Cricetulus griseus: one gene and its partner. The protein of the gene in region 1 purifies or fractionates together with the protein of each later gene. This does not show direct contact. Links are inferred from orthologs where the notes say so. Each region holds a gene or a part of one and is shown on either strand. Other genes may lie near its edges. The genes, in order: Ppp3cc and Rcan3.

Region 1 (3,914 bases):
ATTTTGATGCAAATGGGGGCGTCCTCTAATTTAAGACCCAAGTAGGCAAGTCAGTACCGTGGTATACACCCTTAATCCCAGTACCCAGGAGGCAAAGGCTGGTGGATCTCTGCGAGTTCAAGGCCATCCTGGTCTACAGAATGAGTTCTAGGAATGTAGCCAGGGCTACACAGAGAAACCCTGTCTCAAAAATAACAGCAAAAGATCTAAGTAGTTGATTAATTTTTCCATAACTTTTATTGAATAATCTATTGTTCTCCTTTGGTTTGTAGTTTCCCAAACCGTTTTGTTTTCAGCAACCCTGTGAATGTTAGCATCCGCTATGCTTTAGAATCTGCCTGACAGAGGCACCTGGTTGTTTCTTTAATGGACAACTTTCTTAAAATATGTCAAGGGTTCTCACTGTGGAAACCTGAAACCAGGTTCTGTGAAAATAAAGCCATATTCTAATTATTCCCTGAAGTAATCCTGCCTCAAACGTGCCTTACTGTGAAAGATCTTAGACTGAAACTTCAAGAGGCAATGTAGGGTCTGATTCTAGTCTAGATCTCCAGACTTCCTTTCCGTGTATAAATCCATACTAGGGGAGACTTTGTCTTTACCCTGCAATCGATTAGAAAGAAGCTATCCATAGCACTTTCTGCAATGACTGGGCAGGGTGGTAAATATCAATAATCCCAGCACTTGGAGGCAGAGGCAGGAGGATCAGTAGTTCAGGATCATTCTTGGCTACACATCACCTTCCAGGCCAATCTGAGTGACTTGAGACCTGTTTCAGAAAACAAAACAAACAAAATCCCCCCCCCCAAAAAAAAAACCAAACCAGCTTTGCGCATCGATGGAAATGTCCTATGACAGCCAATAATGTAGCCAGTACCTGAAACTGAACTACTTAATTTACACAACCACTTGTCATTACTCATTGGCCACTGTAGACCACACAATTTCGACCTCTGGCCTCCACTTGAACTTGCTATGGGCAAGCCCACTAGCACACACAAATGCAAACACCTCATGCGGTCACACACACGCACACGATAGGGAGGCCGATGCGGTGTCATTGTACCACAGTGGAATAAATACGTCCAGATTGGCAGGTGGTCCATTAAGGAAAGATCAGTTAGAAGTCAATTCCCTTCATCAAGGAGGTCTGGGCTAGCGAACTAGAAGCCAGTAACAGCTTTCTCGTGGAAGTGGAAACGGATCCCTCCCACCCTCCCAAGTGCTGGACTGGAACTAGGATGGACGCGAAGGTCTTTAGGCTGCTAGGTACAAGTTCCGTGCAACAAACATAAAGTTGATGTAGGGGGTTTCAAGGTGGGGGGGGGTTGGTTAATGGGAGAGGGCAATCTGAGGAACTGGTAGAATGGATAATTTCTTCTGGGGACAAAGTAGTAAGGGAGGAAGCGTTCGTGAGAAGACAGGGGCTCTCTCTGATGAGGGGAGACGCCGGCTTGGTCTCAAGATCGCAGGGGGCTGGCTTGAGAGGCTACAGGTCGGGGTAGAGGTGACGAGCAGCAGGCAAAGAGCATCCGCCCTGTAACACCAAGCTGGCTGCGGGGCAGTAGGAATTAAGAGCGGAAAGCGGAGGGACGCGCGTGCGCAGAGCGCGGCGGGGGGCACGCGGGGCCGCCGGGAAGTTGTGAGCGCGGAGGCGCGCACGCGGGGCTCCGGTCGCGCGCAGCGGCGATCTCCCGAGTTGTGTCCCTCAGCCGCGGTCTCCGTCGCTCTCGACGCGGTCGTCCCCGCCGAGCCGCGGGCGCCGCCGCAGGGAGGGAGCGGCGCTGCGGCCGCCGCCGTCCGAGGACGCCCCGTCTTCCGGGGCCCGGCGCGGTGGCTGCTGGCCCGCCGAACGTAGACCGCTGGGGAGGAAGGCGGCGGCTCGCGTCGTGCGGGCCGCCGGAGCCGGGAGGAGACCATGTCCGGGAGTCACCCTCAGTTCTCCACGACCGATCGCGTCATCAAAGGTGCCGAGCGCGCCGCGGGGAACGGCCCTCGCCGGGCGACGGCTCGGGGACTCGAGGAGCGGGGATGGAGGCAGCGGCGGGAGGCGCTGCAGGGCGCGGGGAGGACCGGGCGGCTGTCCGCCGGCGTCCTCGGTGACTGCTGGACGGGTACCTAGCGGGAGGTGGGTAGAGCGACCGCGCCCGCCATCCACTCCCACGGCAGCCAGGCGCTCTCTCCTGATTCCTTTTTCCTCGTCAAGTCCTGTCTAGCTGGGGATGCCGTCTGGGGTTGTGCGAGCGGGGAGTTCCCATGACTTACCCAGTCGTGCCTCTTCTTAGGCTCAGCTCTTGCTTGACAGTCCCTTGCCTAACCCTTAAAAAAAATTTCTTGCCAGGGGTGTGGCGGGTGTATCGTGCACGTTTGGCCCATTTTGTCTAGATATCACCAGTCACTGCTTTTCCTAAAAGAAACAAGTGGTAGTAACACAAATCTCTTTAATGATGCTTAAAGGGGCTTACAGATTTCTTGACATGCGGGTCTCCTGTTTTCACTTTGGCTGTAGGGACCTCTGATAGAGATGTCTGCCATTGTATCTTATTTCCATTGTTATTTTAAGAATAAAATGTAAAAGTGTTCTCAATCTTTCAGGGTTTTATGGTGTAGTTTCTGCCCTTTAGCCAATAGGACCTGTCAAACATAACCACCCATTGATGTGCTGCTTTTGTCCGACTGTAAGACCTCCTCCGTCTCTCTCTGTAGTAATAGTTGGTTTGAAAGCACTGTTTTTAAGATGGTAATATGCTTAGACCAGCAGTTTCTGGGAAGGGTGGTTTTCATCACAGAGGGAGAAAACTATTAAAATACCTTCTTCCCCCATTTCATTCTGATTTTAGGAGAAAGAAAACTGAGATTAGTAACGATAATATTTTAAAGGGGGGAGCCTATTGAGTGCTCACAGAGAAAATGACAGTATTAATATCATAAATGTTGGTTATCTGCCTTGCCGAACAATACATATGGTACTTTTGGGACTTCTGTCCTTAGGATTTGTTATCATTGGGGATTTCAGTTAATTGCTCATAAAATGGTTGTTAGTCCTTTAACAGCTAAAGTGTCCTGAGCATTTTAGTGTAAGTCTTCATAGCATCTAATCCACAAGGAGGAAAAATGCCTCTTTTAATACGCAGAAATACAAAACTCACATCACACAACCTTTTCTGATGGAGCAAGGTCATCATTATGTACTTTAACTTCTGAACTGAATTGTACTGTGCCGATGACTGTGTAAGGGTGTTGGCAGTTTCCTCTTATATTAAAATGACTTTTCACCACTGTACCATTGTAATGATTCATCCGGCCTTTTCTTTCTAGTGCTTTTCTCTGTCAAAAGATGCCTATTTCTCAGCCGAAGTAGGCAAGGAAACCAGTTAAACCTGAATCCGTGTCAAGTCAGGATAAATGAAGTCTGATCAAGGCTTAGTGGCACCCTCAGACCTTCAAGAATCTCACAGTGTAATTTCTTTTTTTGTACCTGTTATTTCCACCATTATTTGTAAAGGACGTTTTAAAATGACTAATTCTTACACTTAAACAGAAGTGGAATGAAAGACAGGTAAAGTATAGGTGCTGTTTATTGCTAGTATGTTTACAGCTAAGTGAATACCATTTTTACAGTCTGTAGGATATGATACAAACTTGTTCTTTAGCAGAAATTACCACATTCTGTAAACTTTCAAGACCTGTGTCTCTCTTTGTGTGAGGGATTAAGCAGAATTTCATTCTGTTGTGCAGCCAGGCAAACTCATGGTTACTCCTACAGCAGTCTTAAATGATGGGAATACAGATGTAAACTACATACCTAGTTTAAGCCTTCTGTTTTGTTTTGAGACAGGGTCTCTCTATGTAGTACTGGGTGTCCTGGATCTATGGTGGTGCAAAATTTTAATCCCAGCCCTCAGGAGGGAGGG
Region 2 (3,914 bases), on another chromosome or scaffold:
TTGCTCTTGTTCACAACACAGGCAGCAACAACTCTTCCTTTGCCCGGAAGGCAGGCACACAGTTCTGACGGCTGACTTTTGACCTTTGACCTTTGTGTTTTATCTGTGTAATAGCCCTGGCTGTCCTGGAACTCGCTTTGTAGACCAGGCTGGCCTTGAACTCTTCTATTCATTTTTTTTTTTTTTTTGGACGGGTAGTCATGTGGAGGTCAAGGAACAATTGCGGGAGTTGGTTCTCTCCTTCCACCATGTTGGTCCCTGGTTGGGAGCAAGCACCCTCAGCCCCTGAACCCGGCTGCCGGCTAGCTGAGCAGATTCCTTCTAGCGGGAGCTGAGACAAGAAGATCTCCAGCTCTGTGCCTGTCATCTAGCCTATCAGCTGAAGGAAGGCACAGCTCCCCGCCAGGCTGGTCTCAGCAACAGTAATTAAACTAACCCGCAGTGATGCCAGCCAGCCTCGGTGCTACCACGGGTGGAGACCTCGACTAGACATGATTGGTGCCCCATTGTCTCCAAGGGAGACACGCAAGACTGTGCAAGGAAAGGCAAACGCAAACATCATTAATATTGTACGTCTGTGCAGGCTGCAATGGAGGGAGGAGACACACCTGCTGACACCCACAGCTCGGCGACGTCACTGTCGCCTCTGCTGGGCGGAGGGGGCTGCGGGGCGCGGTCCGGCACATCCGGCTGGCGGGTTCCCGGGAGGTTCCCGGGTAAAGGTTCCTAGTATCCTCGCTAGCTGTTCCTGTCACTGTCGTGTGGGGCCCGCAAGAAGCGAGAGGAGAGGTTTCAGGGTGGCGGCGGATACGTAGGGGTCGTCCAAGGTCCCGTTTTAGAGGTCACATACAGCCTTTGCCTCAGGGCTCCCGCCCAAGCCCTTCACAGCCTGTACCCGAGAGCCAGGAAGAGCGGGCGAGAGCGCGCGCGCGCAGAGCCTGCCCCGCCCCCTGGGGCCCCGCCCACCACAAGGACTCCCGCCCACCGAGCTGCCAGCCCCTCCCACCTGTCTGTGCGCCTGCGCAGCGCGCCCGGTAGGCGCGAGGAACCGAGGGAGGGCGCGAGGCGCGCGGGTCCGGGAGCGCGCGCGCGACGCCAGCAACCTTGCTCGGGCCCAAGTCACCGCCCGCGTCCCCGGCTGAGGCAGCCGGCGTCGAGGGCGTGGCGGCTCCCCGCGGCCCCGGGCGGAGGGGGTCTGTCGGCTCCAGGCCGCGCTCGTCGCCCCCGGGCCTCTCCCCTCGAGCGCACAGGTGAGTCTCCCCTTCGCAGGGCGGGGCCGGCGCGCGGCCGCTCGGAACAGGTTTGCAGCGGCGCTGGCTGATGGATCCCCAGGACCCCTGAAAGTTACAGCAGCCCCAGCCGCAGCAGCAGCTGCCCGGAGCCCCCTAGACGCTGCTAAGGGCCAGCTGCCTGGTCCCCAGGGTCTTCCCCGGACGCTTCGGGGTGACATCCTACAAAACACTACTCGCCAAGTCCTTCCTCCACCACCGATTTCTCCAACAGCTGTACGACTTTTTGAAAGGTGGCAGGGCCAACCTGCCCCCAGGGCAGGAAAGGTGTGGCCAGTAAGACAGGGATGGCAGCAGGTGGAAGCCCCAGTCTCCTCCCCGCTTTTCCCTCCCCCAGGATGCAGGAATAATCATCAGCGCATCTCTGCGTCCCTGGCTTCTGGAAACTTGTGTCCGCCTCCCAAACCGACGCACCTTCAATATCAGTCTGTTTCCAGGTTGCCCGGTTCCAGCTTCCGTGTGAAATCTCATCATCCCCTCAGGGGATTAAGATTCTAGCGGCTCACGTCTGTGTTTCAGATTCAAACCAGGATTATTTAGCGTGATATTGTAGTGTACGAAGGGTTTAAGAATCAAAACATATTCACCTCCCCTTACTGAAAGCTATCTAGTACAACACATTTACCTGAACTTTTCGTAGAAGTCTTTCGCCTTCTGTTTGGCCAGAGAAGTAATTTCATCTGTAGCTGTAATTAAAGATTACTTAAAAATCTTATTCTAAGGACTGGGTGTGGCACATGTTTATAATCTCAGCACTTGGGAGGCTGGGCTGGATTACAAAACAAGGCCCTGTCCAAAAACAACAACAACAACAATAAAAAACCAAAAACCCCCAAAACCCTTACTTTATCACTATGCCATTACCTCTGGTCTGATATATAAAACTGTAAAGCAATGTTTGGCCCTAAATGATGGCTCAGCAGGTAAAGACACTTGCTGCAAAGCTTGACAACTGGAGTTTGTGGGTCCCAGGAGAGAACCAGCTCCTCCTGCAAGTTGCCCTCCACATGAGTGTTGCTGTGGCCACAGGCAAACACACATACATACATTAAATAAATAAATACATATATTCTAACAAAATATTGGGGCTGGAGGGCTGGCTCGGCTGTTAAGAGCACTTACTGCTTTAGTAGAGGCCTGGGGTTGGATTCCCGGCACCCATATGACAGCTCATAGCAGTCTGTACAGTTCCAGGTGGTCCCACCCTTCTTCATACCTCTGAGGGCCCATACATGTACCTGATACACAAACATACACCCACAGGCACACACCTACATGTAAATAAATAAGTAAAAAGCCGGAATTTAAAAATATAGTAGTCTTGGAGTCTAGATGTTCATGCAGCATATAGAGTTGTTCTTTTTGATCAGAATTTCATGTTAGTGGTCTGATAGACTGTGGATATAGGAGGGTTATGAAAAAATTAGTGTCCTGTTAGTCTTTGCTATAGTTTTACATTTTACCTCCTTGGCAACTGGTTTCCAAGAAAAGAGGTTTTAGGGGATTTTTTTCTTTACTATTTAATCATGATATGTTTTAAGGTTTTAAAAGCTTATATAGTCTTAGGCTAAACAAATGAGAAGCAATGCTGCATGCTGTTACAGGAAATAAGAATCCAAAAATGAGGAGAGGTGAGGAAAAACAGTGTGACTTAGAACTCTGTTCACCTGACCCTGCACAGTGGCTGCAGGATTTGATGAAGCATTTGACTTAGTCCTAAAGACCTACAGAGAGCTCAACTCGTAGCTCAATGGTAAAACACTTGACCAGCATGCTTGAGGTCCTAGGTTCAATCCCCAGTATTAGAAGAGGAAAAAAAGTCCTTCAGCCATTGAGTGAGGGTGTATCACCCTGAAGAGATTATGTTTAGGGAAGATGACTTATATGCAACAAAGCAAATAGCATCAGTTTTTCTCCAAAGCCTTACATTTATTGCTTTCATTTTGTCTTTCTCATACTAATAGGTAGAACAAGAATATCGATGACGATAGGAACAGTGATAGATTATCAATAAAATGGTGTGACTTGAGGTCCTAGAAACACTCACAGAAATGTAATTTTTAGGTTTTTAAAGGCTTATTTTTTGTGCACGAATGTTTTGTCTATATATATGTATATATACATGTACCCCATGTATGCCTGGTGCCCTCAGAAGGCATCAGTATCCTGGAACTATTGATGGTTATGAGCTCCCATGTGGGTGCTGGGAACTGAACCCAGGTCTTCTGCAAGAGCCATCTTTCTAGCCCCAGAATATAACTTTTAAAAAGATTTATTTTTTTAAATTGTGTCTGTGTATGAGTATATGCACATGTCACAGGTATCCATGGAGGCCAGGAGAGGACATTGTACCCCCTGGAGCTGGAGTTGCAGGTAGGAGCTAGGAACCAAACTCTGGTCCCTCTGCAAAAGCAGAACATGCTCTTAACTGCATCTTTCCAGTCCCCAAATCTAATCTTTATAACCTATTTTACACTAATGTTCCACCAACTTTATTATGCCGATTTTTGTTTCTCATTACTACTTTGGGGGGAAAAAAAGAGTAGAATTCTACCTGCCAATGATTGATAAGAAGCAATGGAAGATACAGGAATCATGGTAGACTTCAGAACCCTGATCGTGGCA

The links.
Region 2: the proteins of Ppp3cc (region 1) and Rcan3 purify together in Homo sapiens (affinity purification with mass spectrometry; 3 studies listed by BioGRID and IntAct, counting the BioPlex papers as one, with this or other methods). This does not show direct contact. The link is inferred for Cricetulus griseus from reciprocal best matches to the Homo sapiens genes PPP3CC and RCAN3.

The regions. Positions count from the first base shown.
Region 1 is NW_023276807.1:224,946,854-224,950,767, reverse strand, and holds the start of Ppp3cc (serine/threonine-protein phosphatase 2B catalytic subunit gamma isoform), read left to right. Parts: upstream 1-1,631; 5' UTR 1,632-1,918; coding exon 1,919-1,967; intron 1,968-3,320; exon of another isoform or gene 3,321-3,459; intron 3,460-3,914. UniProt on the Homo sapiens protein: Calcium-dependent, calmodulin-stimulated protein phosphatase which plays an essential role in the transduction of intracellular Ca(2+)-mediated signals. Dephosphorylates and activates transcription factor NFATC1.
Region 2 is NC_048595.1:17,832,213-17,836,126, forward strand, and holds the start of Rcan3 (calcipressin-3), read left to right. Parts: upstream 1-1,030; 5' UTR 1,031-1,250; intron 1,251-3,914.